Callithrix jacchus: one gene and its partners. The main gene of each other region encodes a partner of the protein of the gene in region 4 in a complex. Links are inferred from orthologs where the notes say so. Each region holds a gene or a part of one and is shown on either strand. Other genes may lie near its edges. The genes, in order: MEFV, AIM2, CASP8, ZBP1 and RIPK3.

Evidence for each region.
Region 1: ZBP1 (region 4) and MEFV share a complex: the UniProt entries of both Homo sapiens proteins name them as parts of the AIM2 PANoptosome complex. The link is inferred for Callithrix jacchus from reciprocal best matches to the Homo sapiens genes ZBP1 and MEFV.
Region 2: ZBP1 (region 4) and AIM2 share a complex: the UniProt entries of both Homo sapiens proteins name them as parts of the AIM2 PANoptosome complex. The link is inferred for Callithrix jacchus from reciprocal best matches to the Homo sapiens genes ZBP1 and AIM2.
Region 3: ZBP1 (region 4) and CASP8 share a complex: the UniProt entries of both Homo sapiens proteins name them as parts of the AIM2 PANoptosome complex. The link is inferred for Callithrix jacchus from reciprocal best matches to the Homo sapiens genes ZBP1 and CASP8.
Region 5: ZBP1 (region 4) and RIPK3 share a complex: the UniProt entries of both Homo sapiens proteins name them as parts of the AIM2 PANoptosome complex. The link is inferred for Callithrix jacchus from reciprocal best matches to the Homo sapiens genes ZBP1 and RIPK3.

Annotation. Positions count from the first base shown.
Region 1 is NC_133513.1:5,409,769-5,416,097, reverse strand, and holds the start of MEFV (pyrin), read left to right. Parts: upstream 1-2,155; 5' UTR 2,156-2,765; exon of another isoform or gene 2,766-2,818; intron 2,819-5,710; exon of another isoform or gene 5,711-5,764; intron 5,765-6,329. UniProt on the Homo sapiens protein: Involved in the regulation of innate immunity and the inflammatory response in response to IFNG/IFN-gamma.
Region 2 is NC_133519.1:19,054,718-19,060,303, forward strand, and holds part of AIM2 (interferon-inducible protein AIM2), read right to left. Parts: intron 3,052-5,586; 5' UTR 3,032-3,051; coding exon 2,770-3,031; intron 1-2,769. UniProt on the Homo sapiens protein: Sensor component of the AIM2 inflammasome, which mediates inflammasome activation in response to the presence of double-stranded DNA (dsDNA) in the cytosol, leading to subsequent pyroptosis.
Region 3 is NC_133507.1:122,348,790-122,355,060, reverse strand, and holds the start of CASP8 (caspase-8), read right to left. Parts: upstream 3,825-6,271; 5' UTR 3,522-3,824; coding exon 3,497-3,521; exon of another isoform or gene 3,220-3,496; intron 1,307-3,219; exon of another isoform or gene 1,249-1,306; intron 1-1,248. UniProt on the Homo sapiens protein: Thiol protease that plays a key role in programmed cell death by acting as a molecular switch for apoptosis, necroptosis and pyroptosis, and is required to prevent tissue damage during embryonic development and adulthood.
Region 4 is NC_133506.1:53,198,954-53,204,539, forward strand, and holds part of ZBP1 (Z-DNA-binding protein 1), read right to left. Parts: intron 5,259-5,586; coding exon 5,085-5,258; intron 3,693-5,084; coding exon 3,525-3,692; intron 2,331-3,524; coding exon 2,127-2,330; intron 766-2,126; coding exon 547-765; intron 1-546.
Region 5 is NC_133509.1:58,637,782-58,643,952, forward strand, and holds RIPK3 (receptor-interacting serine/threonine-protein kinase 3), read right to left. Parts: upstream 3,859-6,171; 5' UTR 3,665-3,858; intron 3,461-3,664; 5' UTR 3,262-3,460; coding exon 2,890-3,261; intron 2,468-2,889; coding exon 2,322-2,467; intron 2,196-2,321; coding exon 2,149-2,195; intron 1,946-2,148; coding exon 1,778-1,945; intron 1,671-1,777; coding exon 1,603-1,670; intron 1,366-1,602; coding exon 988-1,365; 3' UTR 602-987; downstream 1-601. UniProt on the Homo sapiens protein: Serine/threonine-protein kinase that activates necroptosis and apoptosis, two parallel forms of cell death. Necroptosis, a programmed cell death process in response to death-inducing TNF-alpha family members, is triggered by RIPK3 following activation by ZBP1.

The DNA of each region.
Region 1 (6,329 bases), on a different chromosome or scaffold from region 4:
TCAGGGGAATTGAGGCATGAGACAATTAGGCCCTAAAGAACAGTCTGTCTGCATAAATGTTATGCCTGCAGAGTGTGTGTGTGTGTGTGTTGTGTATGTGTGTGTTAGGAGATAGATCTGGGATGTGTTTCATTCAGTACTGGCTCAAGGTTCCTTATTTGACTTGCTAATTTAAACTCATTCTACTTTGGAAACCTCTAATATTTTTTCTCTATGAGGAGAGTCTGCTTTTAAAAATCATTTGCCTAATCTTACGCACCCCAGTGAAACAAAGTCACAGGCAATAAATTTGTAAATTTTTCTCTTATAAAAGTAATGGAGCAAAATATGAAATTTCTCCTCTAAAATTTAGCTTGCCATATTTTATTTTGCCTTATTGTTTCACACTGAGCATATATTCGTGGACTGTGTTTCATAAGTCATAAAACTTTAAAATGCTCATTGAAAAAAATTAAAACGGCTGGGCACAGTGGCTCACGCCTGTAATCCCAGCACTTTAGGAGGCCAAGCAGGTGGATCACGATGTCAGGAGTTCAAGACCACCCTGGTGAAACCCCGACTCTACTAAAAATACAAAAAAATTAGCCGGGCGTGATGGCGGGCGCCTGTAATCCCAGCTTCTTGGGAGGCTGAGGCAAAGAATTGCTTGAGGCCAACTCCTACCCTCAATTCTACTCTCTAGAGGTAGCCATATTTCTTTCTTTTTCTTTTTTTTTTTTTTTTTTTAAGACGGGGTTTCATCATGTTGGTCAGGCTGGTCTTGAACTCCCGACCTCAGGTGATCCGCTCGCCTTGGCCTCCAAAGTGCTTGGATTACAGGCGTGAGCCACCATGCCCGGCCAGCCATATTTATTTCTTCCGTTTCTCTCCAGATAAATTTTAACAATTTTTTTTTTTGTTATTTACAAACATGGGATCATACTATCTGCACTGTACTGCAATTGTGCTTTTTCCATTGAATAATACATAGACCATCTTTGCACATTAGCACACAAATGCACTGCGCTGCTTTTAGTGGATGCAGTGTAGTCCATGGAATGGATTTACCAAAACTTATTCAGCCAATGCCCTGGTGACAGACATTTAAGGGATTTATAGTTTCTGACTAACTGGCAAGTGTGGCAGGTGGGGAAGTGTTCTAGGATTATCACCATGATAGGTGTACGAAAGTGCCCCTGAGACTACCATGGAGGTGAATACACCCTCCTTATGCTTACCTGAAGACAAGTGTCTTGATGGGTAGAACGTCAATAGAATGTAGGACCCAGAAAAACAGACCATCTAGCTGGTTTTCCAAGATTTTTGTGGGCTGCAATACACTTGGATCAAAGGAAATCCTTCTTGAAGGTTCAATACCTAAAACAGTTAAAAAGTCGTGGCTGGTCTGGCATTAGCTGGGGGAGGTGGGGAGGAAGGAAGAGGGCTATGCCTATGAAGCTCCTCAAATAAGAAACCAGATGCATGTGCTTTCTCTGAGCCAAACCATTACCTCTCTGGCTCATATTATGTTAGTAGATTTCTCAAAAGGAAAAGCCACAAGTTTCAGAAACTGTACTCTAGGGTTCTGAGGGGGGCAGAGAGTTTGAGAATCCTTGCTCTAGCCTGCCTCTGCTGATTGAGAAAACGGTAGTGCTGCTGTTGGGCTGAAATAGCTGTTCCTTTCACCGCTTTTGTCATGACTAGTAACTACCGTTTATCTGTTCTCGGCCTCCTTGGAACAGGGGTCTTGCCTGACACGTGCACACTCGCACGTGGCACAGTAAGTGGGACACAGTAGGCACTCGGAAAGTGTTTGCTGTAAACATGAATGAAAAAGGGCGACAGGCTAATAAAGGGTGGAAGGCTTTTGGGGGTCAGCACAGCCCCGGGACGTCCCATTCTCGTGGGCCGCCAGACGCCAGGAAACACGCCGACTCCACTTCACGGCGCCGCGCCCGGGATACCAGAGACTACATCGACTCATTCCCGACATAGGGCGCGCGGCAACTCCGGCGAAAAGCAGCGATAGGCTGTCGCGGCTGCCAATCAGACCAACGGCGCCGCGACTCGGAGACCTCTGGGAGACACGGGTCCCTGTCCATCCCCTCTCCAACTGGCTCGCGTGCTCGCGGGGTACTCTGGGAGATGTGTTTCTAGGAGCGGTCTGCGCAAGTGCATGCGTGAGGGCGGGGCTTCGGGGGTCGGTCTGGCGCGTCCGTCGCGCCTTCTATGAGCCCCTCGGCAGAAGCCGCCGTGGGGCGCCTCCCTCCCTTCTTCAGTCAGCCCGGGACCCCGGCGGGAATGAGGCGCAGGGAGTGTCTCGCTTGACCCCAGCGCGTCCTGGCGCCCTGCGGACACTTCCTCTTCATCCTCGGTCGCTCTTCCCGCATGTCTCCTTCCCGAAGCCCCTTCTCCTCGGGATGCCGGGGCAGAGACCCCCCCCCCGGAGTGGCGCCGCCCTCCGCTCTGGCGTGGGGTTCGCGGGGCGTCGGCGGGAGGGGTCCTGGAGGGAACGGCTGTGCGGGGGCGGGACCCCCTCCTCCCCACAGACGCGCCCCTGACAGTCGTGCCATGGCTCTGCGGACGTCCGAGGACGCTACTGGCGGTTCCTCCCGCCGTGCCCGGCACTGTTACCTCCCCGAATTGCCGGAACAACCCACTTGGTAGGAAACGGAAACTGAGAAAAATCGACTAACTTGCCCACGTCACACGGCCCCAGATATTTGAGTCTCGTATTTCCCACCATTTCGTGGAGCTTCCAGACTCGCCAACAGTTGCAAAACAAGGTGATGAGTGGGAATGGCATAAGCACGGGGCGGGGAGAGGAAGTGGGCAGCACCTTAGAGGGCAGGATTCAACAAACGGAACCTCAAAGGGGGCAGTGTCAGTGCAGCTTCGTAGTTGGTGAGAAACGAAGGGCTGGGCACGGTGGCTCAGGCCTGTAATCCCAGCATTTTGGGAGGCCGAGGCGGGCGGATCACGAGGTCATCAGTTTGAGACCAGCCTCACCAACAAACATGGTGAAACCCCGTCTCTACTAAAAATATAAAAATTATCCAGGTGTGGTGCTGTGCACCTGTAATCCCAGCTACTTGGGAGGCTGAGTCAGGAGAATCTCTTGAACCTGGGAGGTGGAGGTTGCAGTGAGCCGAGATCATGCCACTGCACTCTGCTTGGGCAGCTGAGTGAGACTGTCTCAAAAAAAAATAATAATAATAACAAAATAAAATATGAAACAAATTCCCTGCACTCGCTAACCCTATTATTCTGCTATTTTTTTCTCCAACTTCCTTATGACTTCCGGATACATTATGTATTTGTTTATATCAGTTCACACTTTCCTATAAGAATGTAGGCTCAGGCCAGGTACAGTGAACCACACCTGTAATCCCAGCACTTTGGGACGCTGAGACAGGTGGATCACCTGAGGTCAGGAGTTTGAGACCAGCCTGGCCAACATGGTGATACCCTATCTCTAATAAACTAGCCAGGCATGGGGGTGGGTGTCTGTAATCCCAGCTACTCAGGAGGCTGAGGCAGAAGAATCTCTTGAGCCTGAGAGGTGGAGTTGCAGTAAGCCGAGACAGTGCCACTGCACTCCAGCCTGGGCAACAGAGCGAGACTTGTATTAAAAAAAAAAAAAAAAAAAAAAAGGCTCTTCTGAGTGGGCCAAACGCAGTGGTTCACGCCTGTAATCCCAGCACTTTGGGAGGCCAAAGCAGGCAGATCATTCGAGGCCAGGAGTACCAAACCAACATGGTGAAACCCCGTTTCTACTAAAAATACAAAAATTAGGCAGGCTTTGTGGTTGTGGGCGCCTGTAATCCCAGCTACTCAGGAGGCTGAGGCAGGAGAATTGCCTGAACCCAGGAGGTGGAGGTTGCGGTGAGCCGAGATCGTGCCATTGCACTCCAGCCTGGGTAACAAGAGCGAAACTCCGTCTCAAAAAAAAAATCGTTAACCCTTTAGGTTTCTGAATTTTTTATTTCTCAAGGACTGTGCTGTACAAAACATAATCTCAGCACTGAAGTGACAGCCATCACTGTGATCAGGGGCCAGCTGACAGACAAGCCATGGATGACCAAGGGCCTTTCTTGCCAGCTTGCTCACCCCAGAGAGGGCTGTGGAGTGATTCTAAGCAAAGTGTCTTAGAATATAGTTTGGTGCCTGGAAATTCACTTAAAATTTGAATGATTAGCCTCTCAAAGGCTCAGATCTCTCCCTTAAAAGTAAATATACCGGTGGTGTGGAGGAGTTTGTGTCACAGTGGGATTCATTATTCTCCACTCCAAATCAACATGGGAAATCTTCCACAACCTTCCAACAGCTCTGTCCATTATGTCAACAACAGACCTATTACTCCATCTCAAAAATAAATAAATAAATAAATAAAAACACTTAAATGACATTACAAGGGCGATAATTGTATTTTCACTGTAATAAATTACTGGACCCCCCCACAAACAAAAGCTTTGTGAGCCTTTCTTGCCCTAGAAACTCCCAAGTGGCATCAAAACATTGTCTTCTAGAAGTCCTGCCTTAGAACTGCTTCTGTTGCAAAAACTGTCACCGCGATTGCAAAATGTCCTGATTTAAACCGGAAAGTCCCGTTTTCTGCCCAATTCTGTCATGGGGTTTTGGTCTCAGCTCCGAGAAGTTTTCTGACCAGTCAAGATGGGATCACACAGCACCCATAGCGTCACTACAGAGTCTCATCCTTTCTCCATCTGGGAGACTGCCCGGGAGGAGCTGGTCCCAGTGATACCCCAGTCAACACCCTTCTTCTGGCTCAGCCTAAAAATTCCAAAAGTCTGCTGTCTATGCCATCAATGTGCATTTCGGTTCACTCCCTTTTTTTTTCCTTGAGACTGGGTGTTTTGCTGTGTCACCCAGGCTGGAGTGCAGTGGTGCAATCACAGCTCATTGCAGCCTCAACCTAGGCTCAAGCAATCTTCCCGCCTCAGCCTCCTGAGCAGCAGGGACCACCAGTGTGTGCCACCACACCCAGCTAATTTTGTGTGTGTGTGTGTGTGTGTGTGTGTGTGGAGGTGGGGTCTCCTTATATTGCCCAGGCTAATCTCCAATTCCTGGGCTTAAGTAATCCTTCTGCCTCAGCCTCCCAAGGGCTGGGATTATAGGTGTGAGCCACCATACCTGGCCCCATTCACCTACTCTTTATTTAGGGAAGATGTTGGGTTTGGAGGTTATAGATCAAAAGGATCTAGTGAACTGCTTGTTTGTTATGACTTATGACAACAAAGCAGGCCGGGCGCGGTGGCTCACGCCTGTAATCCAAGCACTTTGGGAGGCCAAGGCGGGCGGATCACCTGAGGTGGGGAGTGTTCAAGACCAACCTGACCAACATGGAGAAACCCGTCTCTACTAAAAATACAAAATTAGCCAGGCGCTGTGGTGCATGCCTCTAATCCCAGCTACTTGGGAGGCTGAGGCAGGAGAATTGCTTGAATCTGAGAGGCAGAGGTTGTGGTGAGCTGAGATTGCGCCCTTGTACTCCAGTCTGGGCAAAAGCAAAACTCTGTCTTTTTTTACAAAAAGGAAAGAAAGAAAAGAAAACAAAGCAGAAGCACCAGATACTCTGTGAAATAGAAAACTGGTAGACCGACTGGACAGTAAGTTAAATCCAAGCAACCAGAGCTCATCAAAGCCTTGACTCCCAGGCTCGGCACACACAGAGGTGCTCACACGCAGAGCTGTTTGCTCAGCTGGGTACCAGAATGTGGTGACTGACCCGTGGAAGTGACCCGTCCTGGACCTCAATGGCCAGCTGGAAATGTGACATCCATGGGTACTCATGGGTAGTAAAGTCATAAATTATTGTCACGCAGGGGATGATGTTGTGAAGTGCTGGATGTTTGGATCCTGGCTCTGGGCGTCATTAAGTTACAGATTCTTGGTTGCACAGGGGAATGAATGACAAAGCCAGCCCTGTAGAACGCTGCAGAGATTCTAGGAGGTGGTGTTTATAAAGCAAGTGGTGGCTGCTGCAGAGGGTAAAATGCATTATTAACAAAACTTCTGGCTGGCATGATGGCTCGTGCCTGTAATCCCAGCACTTTGGGAGGCCAAAGTGAGTGGATGGCTTGAGCTCAGGAGTTCAAGACCAGCCTGTGCAGCATAGTGAGACCCTGTCTCTATAAAAAATACAAAATTAGCCGGACGTGGTGGCATGCACTTATAGTTCAAGCTACTCTGGAGGCAGAGGTGGGAGGGTCACCCGAGCCCAGGAGGCAGAAATTGCAGTGAGCTGAGATCCCAGCACTGCACTCCAGCCTGAGTGACTAAGCAAGACCTTGTCTCAACAAAGAAAAAAAAAGGTAAAGATCACAAGT
Region 2 (5,586 bases), on a different chromosome or scaffold from region 4:
TCATTTATCCTTTTGAGCATTTTATTTTAATCTTACAGGACTTTTGTAGACTTTGATCACGTTTTCTCTTAGCTTCTTTTCTCTAGGCTTCCATGTCCTTACATTATCTCATTTTGCTTCCTACAAAAGCTTCTCTTGTCTACTGATTATTGCCTCTGTCTTCATTAAAGATTCTCCAGGTATCGTCTATCTTCTGTGAGGTGAGGTTGTGAGTAGAACAGCATATAGCACTCTACATGCAGACATGCAATGGCTATGGAGAGGGATCACTTAACCAAAAATAAAAGATTAACTGTTCAAAAAACAAAACAAAAATTGTTTTCCTATAATAATAGAAGTAGCCTAGACACACAAAAATTTCCTACATTCAAAGGAGGCCTAAGAATGTCTGTGGTTGGAATTTTAGCTTTGATGGAACTTAATTGCCTTCTTGTAAAGCATACAAGAAGCATACTTTGTGTCTTGTGGTTGTTTGAGACAGGGTCTCACTGTTGTTGCCCAGGTGAGAGTGCAGAGGCGTGATCTCAGCTCACTGCAACCTCTGCCTCCCAGGTTCAAGTGATTCTCCTGCCTCAGCCTCCCGAGTAGCTGGGATTACAGGCGCCTGCCACCACTCCTGGCTAAGTTTTGTATTTTTATTAGAGATGAGGTTTCACCATGTTGGCCAGGTTGGTCTTCAACTCCTGACCTCAAGTGATCTGCCCACCTCGGCCTCCCAAACTGCTGGGATTACAGGTGTGAGCCACTTGCACCCATCCAAAAAGCACACGTTGAATCCTGCAACTGTTACATGTGGAGACTCTCATTTGGGAGAGTCCCTGGATTCTAGTCCCAAACTATCTTTTCTATCGAATCAGAATAACAAAATCCCAGGATCATTAGAACAGCAAAATGGGGAGAAGATTTTAGAAGGTGAAACTTTGTGCTATCCTTTGTGTCAAAGAGAAGAATTAATTCTTGATTTAATGACAAAATAAAAGATATTTCTAAAATTCTCCGCCTATGTTTGCCAATAAATATGCTTAGATTCCTGTCTCATCCCAGACAAGAAAAAGAGCAGTTGGTTACTTCAAAACAACGTGTAGTTACTGCCATCTAGGGGCCATGTCTAAGAACTACACCTTCTAACTTCACATAGCCTGGGAAAATACAATGTATAACAAGCAGTCCTTTCTCTTCAGTGCCTTAGATACTAGCAAACAGTTTATATCTGTATAGAATTATGAGCGTACATAGTATCACTTTCATGGCTTCATTTAGCCTTCCTATAAGTCATGTTTGAGAAGTGATGTCATCCGTGTTATACACTCACAAATGCTGTTAAAAGCTGTTGTAATTTTTGCTGTTATAGTTGTACTTTTTTTTTTTTGAGACTGAGTTTCGCTCTTGTTACCCAGGCTGGAGTGCAATGGTGCGATCTCGGCTCACCACAACCTCCACCTCCTGGGTTCAGGCAATTCTCCTGCCTCAGCCTCCCGAGTAGCTGGGACTACAGGCACCTACCACCATGCCCAGCTAATTTTTGTATTTTTAGTAGAGACGGGGTTTCACCATGTTGGCCAGGATGGTCTCCACCTCTTGACCTCGTGATCCACCCGCCTTGGCCTCCCAAAGTACTGGGATTATAGGCGTGAGCCACTGCTCCCGGCCTACAGCTGTACTTTGAATCCTAAAACTGTGGCATTTGGAGACTCTCATTTGGGAGAGTCCTTGGATGATATGCTCCTTTGTTACCTCTCTTTTATTCTTCAGACATAAAGCCGGGACATATCAATTTTCTTAGCAAACAAAATCAGAAATTTAAACGAGATTTAAACTAAATGTAGATGGAGATGATGAGTGATTTATTGAATAATGTAAAAAACCTTTGTGTTGTGGGTAATTTATAGTGCCACCTGTACTGGAGATAGGAGAGAGAATCCCCTAATAGAAGGAGGAGATTATTCCCTGAAGAAGGATACTCTGGGTCCTCAGAAAGCTGGGGACAGGAGAGGAATAGACAGACTGTGTGAAGGAGAAAAGGTGCTCAATATCCCGGTTTACGCTTTTCCACTGCAATAATTTATTTATATTTTCATGACTTCAGTAAAATGTGAGCGCATTATATACTGTGTAAATGGAGTTGGGGGATGTTAACTTTGAAATCCTACATCCAAGGCCAGGTGCGGTGGCTCACGCCTATAATCCCAGCACTTTGGGAGGCCGAGGCGGGTGGATCATGAGGTCAAGAGATTGAGACCATCCTGGTCAACAAGGTGAAACCCCGTCTCTACTAAAAACACAAAAATTAGCTGGGCATGGTGGTGTGTGCCTGTAGTCCCAGCTACTCGGGAGGCTGAGGCAGGAGAATTGCCTGAACCCAGAAGGCAGAGGTTGCGGTGAGCCGAGATCGTGCCATTGCACTCCAGTCTGGGTAACAAGAGCGAAACTCTGTCTCAAAAAAAAAAAAAAGAAAAAGAAATCCTACATCCAAGTTCACTGCAATTGAACTGGAGACAGATAGGCAAAGAGAAAAGACGATAAATGGAAGTGGTAACTCTAAGCGTTGGAACAAGAGATGCCAACAGAAGATGGAATGGATTTGTGGAATTTGTACCAAACACTTCCTAGAGGTGATTCTCAGTAAAAGGAGGCAAAGAGACAAGTGCACTAAGTTAGCAAACAAATTCCAACAAACGTGCACTGGGGGCCATATCCCAGGGACGCCGTAAAAGGAAAGGCCCAGGCTTGGCGAAGAAAGGGACTGGGCAGGGCAGGATCCCACTTTACCTTTCTCCTTCTCTTCCTGAAGACGTTTTGCCAAAAGCATGTAATTCAACTTCTGAAAAATATGAATGGTCTTCATTACTGCAGACACCACACCAGCATTTTGAATCATCAAGTTAGCTAGTTGTGGTCTATTTGCAGTATGTAGTTTGCCTGTGGCAATATTAAACTCATCTGGAAGAAAGAACTTAAACCTCTCCAGTTCTTCATCAGTGATGTTCTCCAGGCCCGTTAGCAGGAGTATCTCCTTATATTTACTCTCCATCTAAGAACTTCAGGATCCGCCTGTAAGGAGTCCAAATCATAGAAGATTACACCACCAAAAGTGATTCTATGTTCAGAATGAAGCAAGGTGAGCTGTTACTATATTTTAAAGAAAAATAAACAAATGTTTACAGTAGTAAGAGGTTTGAGTGGAACATAGGTAAGAACTTCTTAAGCAAGGTAGTCACTATTCCCCGGAAAGACATTTTCAGAAAGTATACAACACCTCTGGAATTCTTAGAAAACAGGAGATATCAGCTGGGCACAGTAGCTTATGCCTGTAATCCCAGAACTTTGAGAGGCTGAAGTGGGCGGATCACGTGAGGTCAGGAGTTTGAGACCAGCCTGGCCAATATGGCAAAATCCCATCTCTACTAAAAATATAAAAATTAGCCAGTCGTGGTGGTGGATGCCTGTAATCCCAACTACTCTGAAGGCTGAGGCAGGAGAATCACTTGAACCCAAGAGGCAGAGGTTGTTGTGAGCCAAGATTGCACCATTGCACTCCGGCCTGGGCAACAAGAGTGAAACTCCGTCTCAAAAAAACCAAAAACAACCACAAAAAAGAAAACAATACATTTTCCTGTTGTTTTAAAAACAGATTTATCGAGGCATAACTGACATACAACACAGTGCATATATTGGAAGTATACACTTTGATAAATTTCGGCATATACATTTACCTGATGAAGTAAAATTAACCAATTTTTTCTTTCATGGATTGTGCTTTCAGTGTCATATTTAAGAAATCTTTTCCATGTCAAGATTAGAAGATTTTACGTTCTCCTCTAAAAATTTTATGGCTTGATATTTTACATTTGGGTGTGTGCACTGTTTTGAGTTATTTTGTGTATGTAGTGAGGGATGATTCAAAGTTCATTTATTTTTCATATGAATATAAATTTTCCCAGAAGCGTATGTTAAAGAGACTGTTCTTTCTTTAAAGACTTTTTTTTTTGTATCTTTGTAAAAACCAGTTGTCCAAATATGAGTGGGTCTATTTCTGGATTCTTTCTTCTGTCCATTGATCTATTTTTATATCTTGTCCAGAATAACCTTGTAGTAATATGATTGTTTATGTATAGTAACCAAAATAATAAAATATTATAAACAACGATTCAACAATGTTTCTAACTAGAAGATTAATATGCAGAAATACATTCCTTTATTCTAGCACCACTCCAAGAGAGAAAAATATTACATAAAATAGTAATTTCCAATAGCAACAAAACTACAAAGCACATAGAACATCTAATACAATATATTTAAGAGTTTTAAAGGGAACCTTATAAAACTTTATCGAGAGATTTAAAAGACCCAGTCAAGTGGGTGTATGTGTGCTATTTTCAATGGGAAGAATTGATAGAATGAAGACAGCAATATTGTCAAATTAATCTGTAAACTCCCATGCAGAATCTCAAAGGGATTTTTATAGACATTATCGGGATGCTCACAAAACCTAAATGAAAAAAATAAAGACAAAAACATGCAAAATAAGTTAAATATTTCTTTAGGATATACTATCCCTACTACTAGATATTAATACTTACTACAAATGTATGATAATTAAATCAGTATGGTAGTGGCACAGAGAAAAGTCAACAAATTGAGTGTGGAAATAGAACTACATGTAAATTAAAACATGGTATATAATCAAAGTGTCATTAAAAATCACAAGGAAAGAATAGACAACTATAAAAAGCATTCAGGCAAATGACAATATATGGGGAATGATACACTGAGACTTTATCTTACATCATACACAAAATATATATCTGGCTGGATTAATTATCTATATAGACTAGTAATGGTATTGAATAAAACACAATTTCTCCATACATTGAAGCAGAAGAAGGTTTCTTTTATTTTTCTTTTTTTCTTATACTTTACGTGCGGGTTTGTTACATAGGTATAACACGTGCTGTGGTGGTTTGCTGTACCCCATCAACCCATCATCTTCATTAGGTATTTCTCCTAATGCTGTCACTCCCCTAGGCTCCCACCCCCTGACAGACCCCAGTGTGTGATGTTCCCCTCCCTGTGTCCCTGTGTTCTCATTGTTCAACTCCCACTGATGAGTGAGGACATGTGGTGTTTGGTTTTCTCTTCTTGTGTCAGTTTGCTGAGAATGATGGTTTCCAGCTCCATCCATGTCCCTGCAGTACATGAACTCATTCTTTTTTATGACTGCATAGTATTCCATGGTGTACATGTGCCGCATTTTCTTTATCCAGTCTATCATTGATGGGCGTTTGGGTTGGTTCCAAGTCTTTGCTATTGTGAATAGTGCTGCAGTAAATATACATGTGCATGTATCTTTATAGGAGAATGATTTATAATCCTTTGAGTATATACCCAGTAATGGAATTGCTGGGTCAAATGGTATTTCTGGTTCTGGATACTTGAGGAATCACCACACTGTGTTCCACATGGGTTGAATTAGTTTACATTCCCACCAAAAGTGTAAAAGCTTTCCTGTTTCTCCACATCCTCTCCAGCATCTGTTGTTTCCTGACTTTTTAATGATCACCATTCTAACTGGCATGAGCTGTTATC
Region 3 (6,271 bases), on a different chromosome or scaffold from region 4:
TTCTAGCAGCATCCTAGCTCTTGCACTGATAACTACCCCACAGGTGGGGGGAAAAGCAAAACATGCATTCGCCATCGGAAACAAAAACCTGCATCTCATCCAAAACTTGAGAGAACCTGAAAGCCACTCACTCTCAGGCCCAAACCTCTAACCGGTAGGTAGTATTGCCACGGCCTCGGGTCCAGGCTGGCTGCCCCAGACTTTGGGCTGCCCCTGAACCTCACAGACATCCATTCTGCACTCACATGGTGTCCATAGCAGGGCGCCGCAACCACAGTGTGCAAACAACCAAGCAAAGGTATCCCGACCTCAGCAAAACATACAAGCCCATCATTTTCAAACAGAATGAAACTTGCAACTTCACCTGTAAATGCTTAACCCCACAAGGACAGGTCTCTGATTTCATCCATCCAGTCTTCCCATTATATTGTTTTTTGAACTGTTTTGTATCTTTTTAATTTTCTTTCTTTTTTTTTTGAGACAGAGTTTTGCTCTTGTTGCCCAGGCTGGAAAGCAATGGCGTGATCTCGGCTCACAGCAATCTCCGCCTCCCAGGTTCAAGCAATTCTCCTGCCTCATCCTCCCAAGTAGCTGGGATTAAAAGCATGGGCCACCACGCCCAGCTAATTTTGTAATTTTAGGAGAGACGAGGTTTCTCCTTGTTGGTCAGGCTGGTCTCAAACTCCCGACCTCAGGTGATCCACCTGCCTCGGCCTCCCAAAGTGCTGGGATTACAGATGTGAGCCACCATGCCCAGCCTTTTTAAATTTCTTTAAAAAACAAATAATTGAATTAGTAGGACAATGGGTATGAGTATGCGTATGTGTGTGTGTGTGTGTGTTTATGTTGGCAAATGTGTATGTTGGTGGGTCTGTGTGTTGGTGGGAGGATAGCTGTAGCAGCAAAGTCAGTTGAGATTTAAATTTTGGCTTCTAAGACAAGTTGGGCTGGGATCAGGCTTTCGTACAAGTAGCTAAACTTGGAGCCTTTCAGAAACTCCTAAGACTCCATCGATCTAAGTTAGAGTGGCTTGAGGTCTGGAAACTGCATAACCCTCGGCAAGGCTCTCAGAGGGACTGCTGCCTCTTACACTAACTTCATGGTTTCCCCATCCACACTCAAACATGAGGATCACCTCCATGGCCCCAAGGCCACCCAATCTCACTCTCAGGAGCCTAGAAAACTCCAGAATCAAAGGCCTTCCTCCCAAAAGGCCCCTCTGACCTTACCAAAGAGGCGAATCCTTACCTTATTATCACAACGGTAGCACCTTCTTCACAGGCCTATCCACTGCCCATCTGAGCATCTAAGACAAGAGCAAACGTCTAATGAAGGACGGAAGGCACAGCCAGCTGCACTTCCTGTTTCGAAACTCCTGAGTCACAAACACTAGAGGGGAAACAACACTTACCACTTGTCTCTGAGTGAGCAGAGCCGCCCTCTAAAGCTCCTAAAGCTAAAGGGAAAAGGCCTGGTGGTCCATGAGATTGCAGGCAGGGTGGGGCAAGGCACATGGCCACCTGAGCAATGGCCACTGGCCAACATCTTTGTGTGACTTTGGATGAGTCATTTTACCTTTGGAGCCTCATTTCCATGTTCTGAAATGAGGACACTGGACTGGATTGTAACTAAGAACACTTTCTTTTCATATTTAGTATTTGAAGTTTTTTTGGGTTCATCATTAAGACTTTAAGTTTTTCATTCAATGTATCGTGACTGAGCACCCCGGAGAGGTCTTGAGATTGGGCACTGCAGAGCCCTCATCTTGGTTCTCAAGGTGGCTGCGAACTTTCAGAGCTAAAGCACCTGGTTTAGCCAAGGAGCATCTCCATGGCCCCAAGGTCACCAGATTCCACTCTCAGCAATCTAAAAAACTTTAAAATAAAAAACTCTAAAATGAAAAACCTCTAAAAAGAAAAAACTCTGAAATAAAAAAAAAAATTCTAAAATAAAAAATCTAGAAAGAAAAGAACTCTAAAATGAAATAACTCTTTGGTAAGCCCATCTTACCAAAGGTGGTCCTTGTGTATGAGTGTAGCTGAGGAAACCATGAAGTTAACTGCAAGATGGGTTTTTACCATCTTATCAAAGAGGCAAATCCTGGGGACCTCATCATGTTGGGCTCTAGTTGCCCATATGTATATAATATATGTATCAGTAAACAAAAGATTGCCTTCATACTGAGAGTTAGCTGAAATGTTTTCTGATATTAAAAGCAGGAAAAGAAAATCAAGCATCTCTCTTCTTTGAAGCTGCCTTTTGTCCTTCCCCAAATAGAATATAAGCATTCAGAGGGCAGGCACTCATAGCTGAGAAGACTGAATGAAGTATCTGAAAGGGACTCCTCACCAGAGAGGGCTAGGTCAAGGTGGCCTCATAACATCAATGCCTGATGGGCACAGTGGCATGCCTGTAATCCTAGCACTTTGGGAGGCCAAGGTGGGAGGATCATTTGAGCCTAGGCATTTGAGACCAGCCTGGGCAACATAGTGAGACACCATCTCTACGAAAAAAAATTTTTAATTAGCCAGGTGTAGTAGCACATGCCTGTGGTCCCAGCTAATCTGAAAGCTGAGATGGGAAAATTGCTTAATCCCAGGATGTCGAGGCTGAAGTGAGCCATGATTGTGCCACTGTACAATCATGATTGTGCCTGGGTGACAGAGCAAGACCCTGTCTCAAAAAAACAAAAAAGAAATAGAAATAGAATGTGCAAAATAAAATACCAATAATATTAATATGCAATAGTAATTGATAACTGGTGTAGTAAGTGACTTGTGCCTAGTGTCTCCTTCAAGCCTCACAGTCACCTCCCGAGGCATTATTAATCCCATATAATGATGAGATGACAGAGGCACAGAGGAATTACTTACCTGCCTCAGATCGCATAGTTAAAAAATAGTGTACACACACAAAAGAAAAATACATTTTGCAAAGATACAGATTAAATCACGAATTCATATCAAAACATTAGAGAACTGTCTTTGGGAAGCAAGAGAGAGGGCAGGGGTGGGAGTGGAGAGGTGAAAGGAAACCCTTAGAACCCGGGGAGGAAGGAAGCCGGCTGTGCGCCTTAGGGACCCAGGTCTGCAGGGCATCGTGATTCGACAGAATAAAGAACTTAACCCCCTGCCCCAGGGCCAAATGAAAAAGAAAAAAAAAAAGTGGATTGATAAAGTTTTCTGGAATCTCCAAAAGGGTCCACAGGAGGGAGACAGTGTGTCGGTATTCGAGGCGTCAGGGAAGCTGGGAGCTCAAGCTCTGAAGGCGGCAAAGAAACTGGAGACTCCTCCGAGTGAAAAAGCAGCAAGGTCAGAGGCAACGGCTCAGAGAGAAGCCCCACAGGGGAGCGGGGCCAGGCAGGACCCAGAGGTGTCCTCAGAAGGGCAGATGCAAGTTGCTTCCCCCTGCCCACCGACCCGTTTCTAGAGCTAGTGAAGAAACAAAAATATTGTGGTTTCCTGTGGAAGGGGTCACCTCGGCAACAGGCACTCACCCGCTCCACCCTTTCCGGGCACCATCGCAGTCTCCGAGTCCCCTAACCTGCCTAACTCCACACGCTCCGTGGGGAGCGGGGTGGGAAGGGCTCCCAGGAGGAACCTTTCTTTTACTTTCGATCACCACCCTCCACGGCCTCACTTCCTGTTGAGTGGACTAGCAAATTCAGCCCGGCTTGAAAAAAACGCAAGAGTAAGGAGGAAATCTGTAAAAACACTTCCCTCCAGCAAAAGGACAGAATCTGGTCTCCAGAGAAAAAGAAAATTCACAACAGAAGGAACTCCGGGGTAAATTGTACTCCTAAAGCAGGAGGACAGAGATGACTCACTCAAGCAAGAAATGTTTCCTTTTTAAAGGAACAGATGCCCAATTTCCAACCATTCAGAAGAGGTAGGTGGCAGACAATTCATTGACGTGCAAACTAGAAACCCGAGCGCTGGACATGCTTCACTGGAAAGCATTTATACTGACTCCATTAATAATAATAACACCTGTCCGTAGCAAGTAATATGCCATTCTTCCTTGCAAAGGGTCTGGGGAGAGGGCATTTCCCTCTCTTGATCCAAATCTCAGCACTGAAGCCACAGACCAGCCTTCTCCTCCCTCCCCGAGGACTGAGTAAAGCCAGCCCTGTAGCTGAAATGTAGGTAGATTGTTCACAAAGGAGGAAGTGTTTTCGCTCAGCCCTACTTGGCTCAGCCCTGAGTTCCCAGCCGTGGCCATGTTCTCCAGTTTAGTAGTAACCTGTGTCTTTGTAGTATCCAGCCTGGAGTGTTGGTGCTACTGAGTGAGGTCTGTTCCCCAAGCTCTGAGCCCCAGACCCTCCCCTGTTCTCTCTTTTGTTTGTTTGTTTGTTTGGTCTGTTGCCCAGGCTGGAGTGCAGTGCTGAGATCTTGGCTCACTGCAGTCTCCACCTCCTGGATTCAAGTGATTCTCCTGCCTCAGCCTCCCTAGTATCTGGGACTACAGGCACCCACCACCACGTCCAGCTAATTTTTGCATTTTTAGTAGAGACGGGGTTTCACCATGTTGGTCAGACTGATCTCCAACTCCTGACCTCAAACAATCCACCCACCTTGGCCTCCCAAAGTGCTGGGATTATAGGCATAAGCCACCATGCCCAGTCCCTCCCCAGTTCTCTCCCATCTGCTTCTGTTTCCTGAGTTTTTAATAAGGGTTTTCCGCCCTTTTGTTTTCACATGTTGTACATTTTATAACCAGAACACCAACAATAACACATTACTTATATGTTACACCATGACAAGAACTACCACTAATTCTCTCAGCAATTCAGAGTATTGTTCTCCCATGTTATAGATGAGGAAACTAATGCTCAAACAGTTACATAGAGTCAAACACAGTCCTGCTGGGCCAAAGACAGGGATTTTTCTATGACACACTAACTCCCTTTCTCCAACACTTAGGATTTGGAATCAATTATGTGGATGGAAGAGCAACAAATTTAAACTAAGAGTGACCGATGCACAAAGGTCAGAAGGTCCTTGGTTTCTCAGTCACCTAACAAAAATGAGATGGCCTAATAAAGGCACAGCTAATACTAATCAAACCATTTGTGTATGCCAGACATGGCCACCTAAATTGGTTCATTTCCACTTCTGAACAGTTCTCAGAAGTGGATGCTACTACTGGTCCCATTTTATGAATGGGGACACTGAGGCTTAGAGAGGTTGAAAGACTTGGCTATGCTCATTCAGTGAGTGAGTGATAGAATGAGCTCTGTTTGTCTCTAAGGCCCTGAGTGGTTAGTCACTGCCTAAACATGAATGCACAACCATGATCTCAATCTGACCAACCTCAGAATTAACTGCAAAATTTTTTAAAATACGAATCTTCAAGTTCCAGCTTTGGAACTCCTAACTGAGCAAAAATGTGGGAGATAAAACAGCTGGAGCACTTATAATAGTGCCTGTGCCTTCCACAGTTCTCAGTAAATAGGCTGTGGTCGCGGTGACTCGCACCAGTAGTTCCAGCACTTTGGAAGGCCAAGGCAGGAGGATCACTTGAGCCCCAGAAATAGAGACCAGCCTGGGCAACATAGGGAGACACCGTCTCTACAGAAAATGTTAAAAATTAGTCAGGTGTCGTGAGGTGCGTCTATGGTCTCCAGCTACTTAGGAGACTGAAGTGAAAGGAAAACTTGAGCGTGGGAGGTCAAGGGTGCAGGGAGCTATGCTCATGCCACTGCACTCCAGCCTGGGTGACAGAGCGAGACCCTGTATCAATAAATAAATAAATATTCACTACCCTGTTATTCAAGCTCACAACATCTCTCAGATGGCTACAGATTATTAGGCCTGTTACAGATGACGAAATTAAATGCAACATCAATCAGCTGACAAATGGCAGGGCCAGTGCATGAACTCAGGAGTGTCTCACTCAAGAGTTTCTGCTCTTAGACCCTGTAAACGTCTCACTGCATGTACCCAAACCCAGCCTTGCAAATACGGGTTAGCTGCTGGATGCATCTGAGAGGCAGTACTGAGAATGCGGGGAGCAGGGTAGCGGTGGGAGTCTCAGGGCTTCAACTTGTGCCATTTGTAAGGCACTGACCCTAGATTCTCCAGTCTTAGATCTTTTATATATATATATACATATATGAAGAGCTAATAAGTGAATTATGGCCAGGCACAGTGGCTCACCCCTGTGATCCCAGCACTTGGAGAGGCTGAGGCAGGCGGATCACTTAAGAGCAGTTCAAGAGCGGCCCGGCCAACATGGCGAAACCCCATCTCTACTAAAAATACAAAAAAAT
Region 4 (5,586 bases):
CCCCAGGGACAATTCAGCACTGAGGTAAAAGAAACCCTGCTCTGCTCCCCTCACCCGGACATGAGGCCTGGGCTTCGAGCAGGCGGGGGCCACCATGTGAGGCATCTCCACTGTGGCAGGTCGGCCTGTGCCCTGATGCAAAGCCTCATTTGCGTGGCAACCCAGCACCTCTCTGGGGCCCCAAACAATCACGACAGCAATGATGAGACAGTAACACTCCTATCTCCAGAATTTGGGCCGGGCTGAGCTCCGCCTTCCTCACAGCCACTTAGGAGTCACTTCAGGCTATTCTTTCCACCCCCCTTTACAGCTACGGAGACAGAGGATCTTGGGTGAAGTGACTTGGGTGGGTCCCTCCACCAAAGGGGCAGAGCCTGGAAGCTCTGACTCCAGAGTTGCTGCTCTTCACCATGGGTGGGCACTGCCTCCTGACTCCAGGAAAGGAGAGATCAGAGAATGGTTGATGAGAATAAATGAATGAATGAATGGAATGTGGGGAGAGAGAGAGAGAGGACACACAGGGGTCCACTCTGCCCCCCAGCTCACCTACATCCTCCCCTGGCTCCCCATCTCCAGACCCTGCAACTCCTCCTGGGTCAGCTGCCCCTGGGATGATAGACATTTTGTTGCTGTTGCCGATGGTGGTGTCCTCGAGAAAGCATGATTTTATGTGGATTCTCTGGGCGGCGTCCTCCTTGGGGTGAGTTCCTGGATTGGGCATTCTTTCTTCAAACGAAGCTTCTGGGCCGGCAGCAGTGGCAGAGACTGTGGGTGAAAGGGAGAGATGTCGGGAGCCTGAAGCATCTGGACAGCGGCCCCAGAGCCCTGACCCCAGCCTGGCTCACTCTCCTCCCCAGACCTCTCACCAGCGGCCCACTCCACCCCACACACACAGCCTGCGTCTGGCTTCCCCACTGCCACACCTACGCACGCTGTCGGGATCCTGGACGTGTCTCTCCACCAGCTGGTGGGTCTTCCCTGCTGATACCACCCAGCTGATCTGGTTGTCGGTGTCTTCTGGGGTTCAGCTCCTCCCTTCTCTGCTGCCTGCTTCCCACTGCACTGGAACACTGGCCCCCACTTTTGGTTGAAATCTTACGGGGGCTCCCAGCCTGGCCCCAGCCCCTGCCATCTGGCTCTGCTCTTTCCCATCCAGAAAAGTCATCTACACTGCGTCTTGCCTCCTCCCGCTTCCCAGACCCCTTCTGCTCCCCCACTCCCAGAAACCACCCCCACAAGGTTACCATGACCCCTCTCGCTGAACCCTACAGCAGCTTCCCTGGCCTGGCTGCTCTCTGGAGACTCCTCTCCCGGGGCCTCTGCTTTCCTCCTCCCTCTCTGGCTTCTCTGCTGGTTCTTCTCCCCAGCCCATCTCTGCATTCCTAGTGTGGGGGAAGCCTCCGCCTGGGGCCCTCTGGTTACTGCAGCCACCGCACCTAGTAGGGCTCCTGTCTTCCATCCTCCCTAGATGCCATTCCATCCTCCCTAGATGCCATTCCAGTGATGGCAGGGCCATCACTTCTGCCCCTGCCCCAGCTGGCCCAGCCTCTGCTTCTTTGGGGAGGTCATGCCCATTTTACAGATAAGGAAACTGAGGTTTCCTTCCTGCAGTGGGTCATAGGGGATGGGGACCCAGAGTGCTAGCTTTATTTTATTTATTTTTATTTTTTGAGACAGAGTCTCACTCTGTCACCCAGGCTGGGGTGCAGTGGTGTAGACTCGGTTCACTGCAACCTTTGCCTCCTGGGTTCAAGCAATTCTCCTGCCTCAAACTTCTGAGTAGCTGGGACTACAGGTGTACATCACCACACCCAGTTAATTTTTTTTTTTTTTTTTTTTTTTTTTTAGTAGAGACAGGGTTTCACCATATTAGTCAGGCTTGTCTCGAGCTCCTGACCTCAGGTGATCCACCCGCCTTGGCCTCCCAAAGTGCTAGGATTACAGGCGTGAGTCACCATGCCTGGCCTAGAGTGGTAGCTTTAAAACCCCACCTGCTCTACTCTGGTTCAGCCACCTGGTGAAAAGGAATTTCCCATCATGCCTCTCTCCCCACAAGGAACTCCAGTTCCTTCCAGTGGGAACTAAGGGGTAGCAGGGGTGTGTCTGACCTCTAGGTCCCCAGTTACCTGGGGGGCTGCCAGAGGGGCTGTGGGCAGGGCCCTCGGATGGAACGCCGTGAAGCCTCATCTCATTGCTGTGTCCCAGCTGCACTCGTCTGAGCATGGACCGCTCCATGTGGATGTCCTGGACCCCCCAGGCATCAACCAGGGTCCCCTGAATTGAGGAATCACCTGGTGCCATTGGAGGGAGGTGGCAGGGACCCGTGGAACCTGGCAGAGGACAGCGGAACCGCCTCACTGGAGATTACTGCAGGCTTCTTACCTCCCCTCACCACCACACATGGTCCTGGCTTCTGAATTCTTCCTGGGCACCATCAAACTGGGGGCAAAGACTTTAGGCTCTGACTTAGAGAGCAGGAGGACCTGGCAGAACAGCTCATTTTCGGGCTCCCTGGGTTCTCAGGACTTGCGCTGGTGCCTGGCTGTTGCAAGGACTCACAAACCCAAACAGTGAGCTCCTTGCTGGTTCGCAGTCATTCTCCAGCCTTCCGGCCTCAAGGGGATAAAGTCTCCTTTGATGCTGACACCAAGGGCTCAGAGCCTCCCGCAGCATTTCAACTGCCAGGAATCACATTTATTTTTATGGTGATTTTCATGGTTTTAACCTAAAATAATACTATAAAATTGTTTTAAAATAAATTTTTTAAAAGGTGCACTACTCAGCAACATTAATTAAATAATCAGACATTGGTATGGCCAGAAGCGGGAAGGTGGGGCTCAGAGGATTAAGGCTGGGGAAACTATGATCTAGATTCTAGAACAAAGTTCCTCATTTCACAATTGGGGAAACTGAGGCTCACAGTGAGGAAAGGTTCTCCCAAAGTTACAGGGAGTGTCCTGACTTTGGGGCTGATGCTCTCACTCACAGGTGACAAGGCTGGGCTGATAGGTGGCTCTGTCCCCTCTTGCTACAGTGTCCGGCATGGGGTAAGTGTGCAGAGTGCAACATAGAATTTCATCCAAAGAAGGATGCCATGGGTGGTGAGATCCACCTCAGTTTCCAGCCTGTTCAAATGTGGGGGAAAGTATCGTTTCTCAGAACAAATACCATTCTACAATAACCTCCCTGTGGCATTCTTCGGAGGGAGAGAGTAATTGAGTTGTTTCTCATGGAGAAACATCGGACCCCACTGAAAGCATAAGGTCAAGTGCAACACAGAGGGACCCCATCTTAATTTTAAGGTTTTATCAAAAAATAAAAATAAGAAACTGAGGTCGAAGGTATCAAAGTACAGGGAAATCAGAACTTTGATCCAGGCGCCCTCATTCTCAGGGTGGCCATAATGTGGAAGCTCCCCTTTCCCCCTGGAGGGCTGAATACCCCACACTTGGCCTCCACCTGGTGGACCAGGTGGCTCCCCTTGAGGTTGAGGTTCCCTCCCGGGGCTCTCTCGGGTGACTCACTGTCCTCCCTGGAGACTGCCTGCCTTGTCATGGTGTTCCCGTGTCCAATCTGGATGGCTTCCGAGTGTGCAATGGAAATCTGGCCGTTCGGTCCATTCTGGCAGATCACATTGATTGGATTGTGCTGGTAAATAATCGAGGTAGACTCTGCTGTTCCTCCAGAATCTTCTGCAAAACAATATTCAACTCTAAACCTTCGCTCCTCTCTGTGGGTCAAGGGTTGCCAATACTAGTGGGCAGCACCAAGTTCTCTGGGGAGCTTGTGAAAACACCCTGGGGTTCCCGGTCAGTAGGACCGAGTAGGGGCCCAGAGCCGGGTGTTTACCGGACACCACAGGTACCTCAGAGGGAGCCTTCCTTAGAAATCGCCACTGCAAGTCACCCTACCTGTGTCCTTTGCTGCCCCCACAGCTGGCCCTCCATGATTGCTGGCTGGGAGGACTGCAGGGGCCCACACTGCTCTCCCAAGGGGCAGCCACAGCCCGGACCCCTGGGCACCTGCACTGCTGCTCTTCTCACTTGAGCAGTGGCCAAGAGAGAGCAGCCCATGGGACCAGATGGGGTGTGTTTGGTTCCCATGGGATTTTAAGTATTTGAATTTGTCAGTGATTAAAATCTGATGGCTGTCACATGTTATTCCTTCCTCACAGCAGCTCTAGGACACTGAGACCCCCTGGAGCACCTGCCATGAGCAGCAGAGTCCACCCCGACGGGGCCAAGGCAGGCACCTCCGTGGACTTCGTGGGGCCTATCACCACCCTCTGGGGTCTCAGCTTCTGTGCCTTTGTGAGTCTTTCCCCTATACACAAATATTTAACCCTTTCTTTTTGAGGCAGAGTTTCGCTTTTGTTGCCCAGGCTGGAGTGCAGTGGTGTGATCTCAGCTCACTGCAATCTCTGCCTCCCAGGTTCAAGCAGTTCTCCTACCTCAGCCTCCCAAGTAGCTGGGATTACAGGTGTGCACCACCATGCTCAGCTAATTTTTGTATTTTTAGTGGAGACGGGGGTCCACCATGTTGGCCAGGCTGGTCTCAAACTCCTGACCTCAGGTGAGCTGCCCGCCTTGGCCTCCCAAAGTGCTAGAATTACAGGCACCAGCCACCACACCTGGCTCATTTTTAGATATTCGTTATTATAGTATTCATTTCTTCTGATTTTAAATGAAACTGAAATTAAAGATTTTCAAGGACCCCGATAGTGCCATGGGCCCTTGGCCCTGCACTTACTGGGTCTCATGGAGAAGTCCGCCCAGCGGCTCCACTTGGTAGGGGTCTGATCCTAGTCTTGCCTTCTCTTCTGCGAACTTTAAAATCCAGACCTGGGCAAAGTGCTTAAAGAAAACTGTTCTCAAACTCAAACTGACCCCTGCACCCCAGAGCTGAGAACACTGGGAGTGGGCACCTCCATCCCATCCGATGGCCTTCTGCAACTGCAGCCCTTGGGCCACACCTCCAGGAAGCCATCCCTGGTTAATCCCGCCAGCACACCACTTCCTCCTAGAAGCCCTTGCCATGAACTGCCAGTAGGACCTCCAGAAGCTTCCAGGGTGGGAGGGGCCTACCTGGGCGGTAAATCCTCCATGTTTTGGATTGCTCATCCAAGTCCAGAAGGTGCCTGCTTTTCATCCTGTACAAGTCTCGGTTCACATCTTTTGCTGTCCTCATTTTCAGCCCCTGGGCGATGTACAGAGCCCTTTGGGGACCATTGTCTTTGAGAAAACTGTAGATTTCTTTCTCTGGGAGGCAGGATGGCCAGGTGGTTAGGGAGGAGTCCTAGGGTTTGCATCTGCCCCACCACTTCCTAGCTGTGTGACCCGAACCTAGCCCCTCCAGGCCTGGTTTCCTCATCTGTAAAATGGGCATCGTGATAATGGGGTAATAATGATGCACCACAGAGATGCCCTGAGGGTGAGGAATGTGCAGTATGCTGCGCTGTGCCTGGCACCTGGCGGCTGCACGGTGAGGACCAGCTATTTACTGCCTGGAGAAATCACTGCTCGGCCATTCAGATTCTCCCATGAAGATTCTCCTGTGAAGGCTGGACCTTGGCTCTGAACACTGTGT
Region 5 (6,171 bases), on a different chromosome or scaffold from region 4:
CGCAGTTCTTTGGTATTTCGTTTTATTTTAGAGATGGGGTTTCCCCATGTTGGCCAGGCTGGTCTCGAACTCCTGACCTCAGGTGATTCACCCACCTAGGCCTCCCAAAGTGCTGGGATTACAGGCATGAGCCACTGTGACCAGCCTATTTTATGTTTTTCACCCTCCTTCCCATCCAGTGGGGAGGAGGAGGTGGCGGCTGGGAAGTGGGAGGAGGGGAGGGGGGGTCTCCCCTCTCATCCGTAGCATAGTCAAGTAGTTATTGTTTTCAATTTGCACCCCAGAGCAGTTGTGTAAGGTAATAGATGGTGTCTCTTTAAGAGAAAAAGTAATGGTGGCAGGAGGGTTTAGCTGTCAGTAAGGCAAAGTTGAGGGTGGGTGGGGAGTATGAGGTTTCCACTTGTCAGTGGCTTGTGTCAAGGTGTGCCCTGTGCCCTCCCCTTCAGAGTTCCTCTCCAGAATTGGGTTAGCAGAAGCTGTAGAGAGTGGCAATGGACATTTGAGACCCTGATCTTTTTGCTGGGAGGTTCTCTGGACTGCTGAAACAACAATGGAACGTAGGGACAACACACAGAGCTGGTGTTGTGCAAAGTTAGAAAACTCAGGGACAAATCCAAGCTTTATTGTGAGACCTCAGAGTGCTCCTTTCTCAGGGGCTGTCAGTTTTCCCATTTATGAAATGAGAAGGTTGAGTTAGATCGTCTTCTCTCCTCCCCTCCACAAGTTACCCTGAATCTAGTTATAGGTCTGGAGGAAGAGTCTGGTGGAATAATTGAACAGGGAAAAAAAGGGGTAGAGAGTGGGTATCTGTTACTGGATTTGGTTCCAGGTTCCTGGAGGACCAGTTCATGCCATGTCTCTTAGCCCCCTGCAAACAGCACAGAGCATTCAGTTCTGTCCCAGAGTCTGGTGTTCCCTCTGCACTCCTCTCAGCTCCAAGTTTTCCCTGGCAAGGGGAAAGGATTTATAGGAGTTCTAGTGCATCCCCTAATCCTGCCAATGTCTCACCTGATTCCTTTGGGGTCTAGGACCTGGTGTTCCAGTTGAGGTGGGGCTGGGTGTCTGGTTTCTGAAAGTTGAGGTCTCTGGAGTCTGGGGAGGTTGAGCCATTGAATCTGAAGATGTCCCTGCTGTCCTGGCTTGTGGAACCTGCTCCTCTTGTGCCCTGCTCTTCTTGGTAAGACTTGGGTATTTTTCAGGAACACAGCTGGAAGAATCCTCTAGATTCAGTTTATTTAGCAGGTCAGAATCCATGAAATCATCATAACAGTGCTGCCTTCCTGTGTTTCTCCCAAAGCCATCCATTTCTGTCTTTCCTTGGCCTGACCTATTGCTGCTCCTGAGCTCAGACAGGAAATTCTTTACCTGCAGGGATGGAGGAGTTTGCTGGGTATAACTTGGATGAGCCAGAGCAAACCCAAGGGAGTAGTCTCTTGGTCCATAATCTGTTGGCTGGGAACTCGGGGGTGGGCTGGGGAGGGTGGGGACAAAGTTCAAGGCATAAAAAGCGGTGATCGGTGGTAAGCCATCATTGGATGGCTAGGTAGTCATGTTGTGCTATCCCTGACCAGCTCCTGGAGAGGGATGATGTTGGGAGCTCACTGTGGAGACAGCAGCATTCATATTGTTCTTCACCAGCTCGAAGCCTTCATCGGTTTTTGGTAGGCATTCTAGAGGGACAGTAGATTGGGTTGCAGGTGAGCAAATCTTTTCCTGAGAAGAGCCCCCTGCTGACAGACCCAAGCTTATCACAGATCCAGCTAACTGGGCAGCTCACCCTGGAAGGAGGGTCTGTCCTTGGGCTCATTGCTACAGCAGAGCTGCATTAAATCCTTCAGTCCTTCCAAGCCAGGAGTCTCAGGCCCAGCTTGGGACAGTTCATTTAGTGAGGGCTGGGCCTCCCTCTTGCACACTGCTCCATACACCAGTGATGCTTCGGTCGGCACTGGGGTAGGGAAGGTGGGTGAGAAGAGAAGGCATTTGGGGTAAAAGGGAATATCTGTCCATCATGGAAAGAGGCAGGGAGTGTAATGTGGGGGCACCATGAGGGAGGAGGGCAGTCTAAGTAGATGAGCAGGAAGGGGAAGACTTGGGGCTTTCAGAAGGGCACCTGGGGTTAAGGATCCCAGAATCTGCCTAGAGTCTTACACTCAGCTTCTCTTCCAGCAAGCACTGCCCACATTAGGATCCCGAAGCTGCAGGAGACACAAAGCTGAGGACAGGTCCAATCACTGGCAAGACTCCTTTCCTATACGTCATCCCCTAGGAGGGCCAAGAGAGGTGTAGGAATCCCCGCTGTGTGTTTGGGGTGGGATCCTTACCTGTAGACATCACTGGCTGGGGAGGCCTTCTGGTTTACATTAACAAACAGTTCTGGGGCCAAGTAGCCCAGGGTGCCCCCTGGCTCCCTAGACCCTGTCCCTGACGGTGAGCTTCCCTGAAATGTGGACAGGCCAAAATCTGCCAGCTGCAAATGAAGGGAAGAAGGGGGAAGCGGGGAAGACAAAGCAGGCAGCCTCCAGAATACTCCCTACCCCCAGATGGTGCAGATTCAGCTTTGTAAAAAGAGTGTGAAGGTCAAGGGAAGGGGTTCCCTTGGGTGGTAGATCTAGGTGCCCTGTGGTAGGGCTGGGTCCAAGTCTGAGTCTCCAGGGCCTGGTGGGACAGCTGGTGGAAATGACTCGTGTGGGTCAGGGCCTCTATCACCTGGTAGGGCAGGAGCTAAAACTCCCGGCTGGGCTTTGTCCCCTGACAACTCTGAGTCCAGAGGGAGAGGCTGTGCCTATTCAACAGACAGGGCTCTGCAGGTCTAGTGTCTGGTGGCCCTGGCTGGAGCAGCTCTGGGGTGGGGCCTTGTCCTGAGGCTGAGAGGGGTGTAGACCGGCTAACCTTGACGTGCAGCTCCGGGTCCAGCAGGATGTTGGATGGCTTGAGGTCCTGGTGCAGGAGCGCCGGGTTCTGCTCATGCAGGTAACACATCCCGAGCACCACTTCTTTCAGCAGGCGGCAGAGGAGTGGCCAGGGCCGAGGGCACTGGGGCTTCAGCAGCCCCGACAGGGAGCCGTTCTCCATGAATTCAGTCACCAGTGCCGGCCTGAAATCGTCGTCCCACCCCACCTCCTCGATGACCCCTTTTAGGCACAGCACGAATTCGTTATTCAGACTTGCCATGGCCTTGACCTCCCTGGATATCGCCTTCCTACACTCCAGTAGAGAGCTGGAGTCGCACCGGGGTCCTGGGAGAATCCCTCCCTTCCCCATTCAGGTCGCAGAGCACAGCGGCTCCACCTTTTTGCCCAGACCTTGGCCGGACACTCACGAGTTCACGATCTTGACAGCCACATCGCAGCCCCACTTCCTATGATGCGCCCGGAACACGTTGCCGAACCCGCCTGAGCCGACGAGCTTGTGGTTCTCCAATTACTTGTCTAACACCAAGGAGGCGGAAGCACCGTTCAACCTGAGAGAGGGGTGTCGCCCACTAGCCGGCAGTGCAGTGTCCGCGCTGCTCCCCCCGCCCCCGTGACTCGGCGCCCACTGCAATCCTCGGCCTCCCTCGCCCGCCCCCACCGTCCCTAGACGCAAAGGCGTTCTCTGAGCGAGTCGCGGGTAGCTCTGGGGGTGAGTGTCGGAGACTCAGATCCACACGCCACTCCCTACTCACCATAACTTGACGTGAGACATCAGGCTGGAAGGTACGAGGGGGCCGCTGGAAATAGCGAGCTGCAGGAGATGGAGTGACTTCCGGGGCTGCGGTCTTTGGTAGAGAGGGGAACGGGTCTGCATGCACAGGCGTCAGTCTCTAGACCAAGATGATGATTCCACTTTCCGGGTTGCTACCGCTATTCCGAGTTGACTGAACAACTTCCCTTTCAGGCGACTCTACAGTCCCGCCCCTGGGGTGGGACGGGGGCAGAACGAAAGCTAGTGCTTTCCTCTCTGACTAGTGTTTCTTGGGCGCCTGCTGCGTGCCGCGGCCAGGTTGGTTGTAGCTGGGCATTGAGGATGTTAGGGAAGGAGTCCTCACCTTCCGGGAACCCACAATCGACCCTCTCCTACAGCCAACGCCTTCCCTTTTCCCACGGGATTTCCTGCTCCACCACCTGCCAGGCCGTGAGTGGGGATGGTGCTTAAGAGGGTTTTATGGTTCTGGGGCTCAGCTCTCTCACAGCTGCCCTAAGATTATAGCCAACACGTATATAAAAGTTACTACACACCAGGTACATATATTAGCTTATTTAATTCTCACATGAACCCTAAGAGGATAGGTACTGCTTTTATTACTATTTTTATGGACGAGGAAACTGAGACACTGAGAGTTTAAGTATCATGCCTAAGCCCATGTGGAAATAATGGCTCTGAACCATCAAGTTTTCCTATTTTCACATAGACTTCAGGGCTGTACCACTCAGCTGGTCATGCAGGTGGTTGGGGAAGGTGTGAAGCATCCAACGATGTAATGAAGGACCCCTATCTGTATTCCTGCCCAGTCCCTATCGCTGCTCTGATAGGGACTTATATGCCCTATGAACAGGAGCCCCTGGAGCTGACAAGCCCTAAAACAACTCCCAGGGCATTGTGGTAAGGCTAGATATATCAGCCCAGCCAGAAGGTTGCTGACATTGCGGTGTACATTGCAGTGGAAACACCTCAGAGCTTTCCTGCCCTCTCTCTTGCATGACAGCTCTTGCATGCAAATACCCTAATTAATGTTCCTGACAAGCACGTGCTCGGACACAGGTCTTTGATAACCCGGGAGCATGCAGCGTCTTAAAGATTTAGGGCAGAAAAAAGGTGTCCATATTTTACCTTTCTAAGGTCTGACCATGACTGGGGGTTGTGGGAACAAGCTAGGGTCAGCCCTAGGCACTCAGTTCTTCACAGGGAGACTCAATCCTGTGGGTTGTGTGTTGGCTCTCACTAAAAGGTGCTCACCTTGGTACTTGCTTTCCATTTTGTCCAGTGGTCCATGGGCTGGTTGAAGCAGAAGTGACTAGCAGTTTTTTCTAGAACAGCTCCTGGAGAGCCATGTCATGGCTTCTGGTAGGGTCAGCTCATGCTATTTTGGAGCCATTTAGGGAATTGTTCAACCATAGTCTCTTTAAAAGCCAATAAATGACAGGTACCCAATAAATATTTATTGAATTGAATGAATAAATGAACAATCAAAAATACTGAGCCTTCCTTAAGACACTGATCATCCTAGATGAAACTCCATACTCATTAGGAGGAAAGAGGAGATTGGGTTCCTGTAGGGATTGAGGGCTCTCACCTGAACAGTTCATGAACTCCATCTGAAGTAGGCTTTAGTATAGAGATATGGCGGTATCACACAGAATCCAAGAAGGCAAGAAGTGTAGCAGATCCTCAGAAAAGCCTAGTCAGAAGCTGAGAGCCATCAGAAGGGGCAGCCACTCCCTTTGTGATTCTCTTTAGAGAGAATAACCTGGGCTCAATATCTCCACTTGAAGGGAGCAGGCATAAGGAGTTCGAAAGTTGTCATAACTGGGTTTTTTCAGATTGGGACGAGACCCTGAGAATCAGGGATAAACCACTGTGAAACACAGGGTTGGGTGTGGTATCAGGGCCTATACTACTTTTTGACTCAAAATAAACAGCCCCTTTAAAAGAAGGAAGAGCAGGGAGAAAAACCTTAGATTAAGTGCCTAACAGGACCCTCAGCCTCCAGCAAGGCGGTGTGGGGGTGGGCTCATTTCTGGATTTTGGAGCTCTGGTCTTTTCTGAGGACTGCTGTCTCTGACCACAGATGTCCCAGGCTTTTGAAGTCTACTTGGGTATTTTTTAAAAAAATTTAATCAGTATTTTGTTTTCACGACAGCGTCTCGCTCTGTTGCCCAGGCTGGAATGCAGTCATGTGATATTGGCTCACTGCAACCTCTGCCTCCCAGGTTCAAGTGATTCTTCTGCTCCAGCCTCCCAAGTAGCTGTGACCACAGGCATGCACCACCTTGCCCGGCTAATTTTTGTATTTTTAGTAGAGACAGTGTTTCACCATGTTGGCCAGGATGGTCTTCAACCCCTGACCTCGTGATCCACCCACCTCAGCCTCCCAAAGTGCTGGGATTACAGGTGTGAGCCACCGCACCTGGCCTTACTTGAGTATTTCTTATTCCTTCAGTTCCCTGCTCCTGATTCTCTGATTACCTTCAG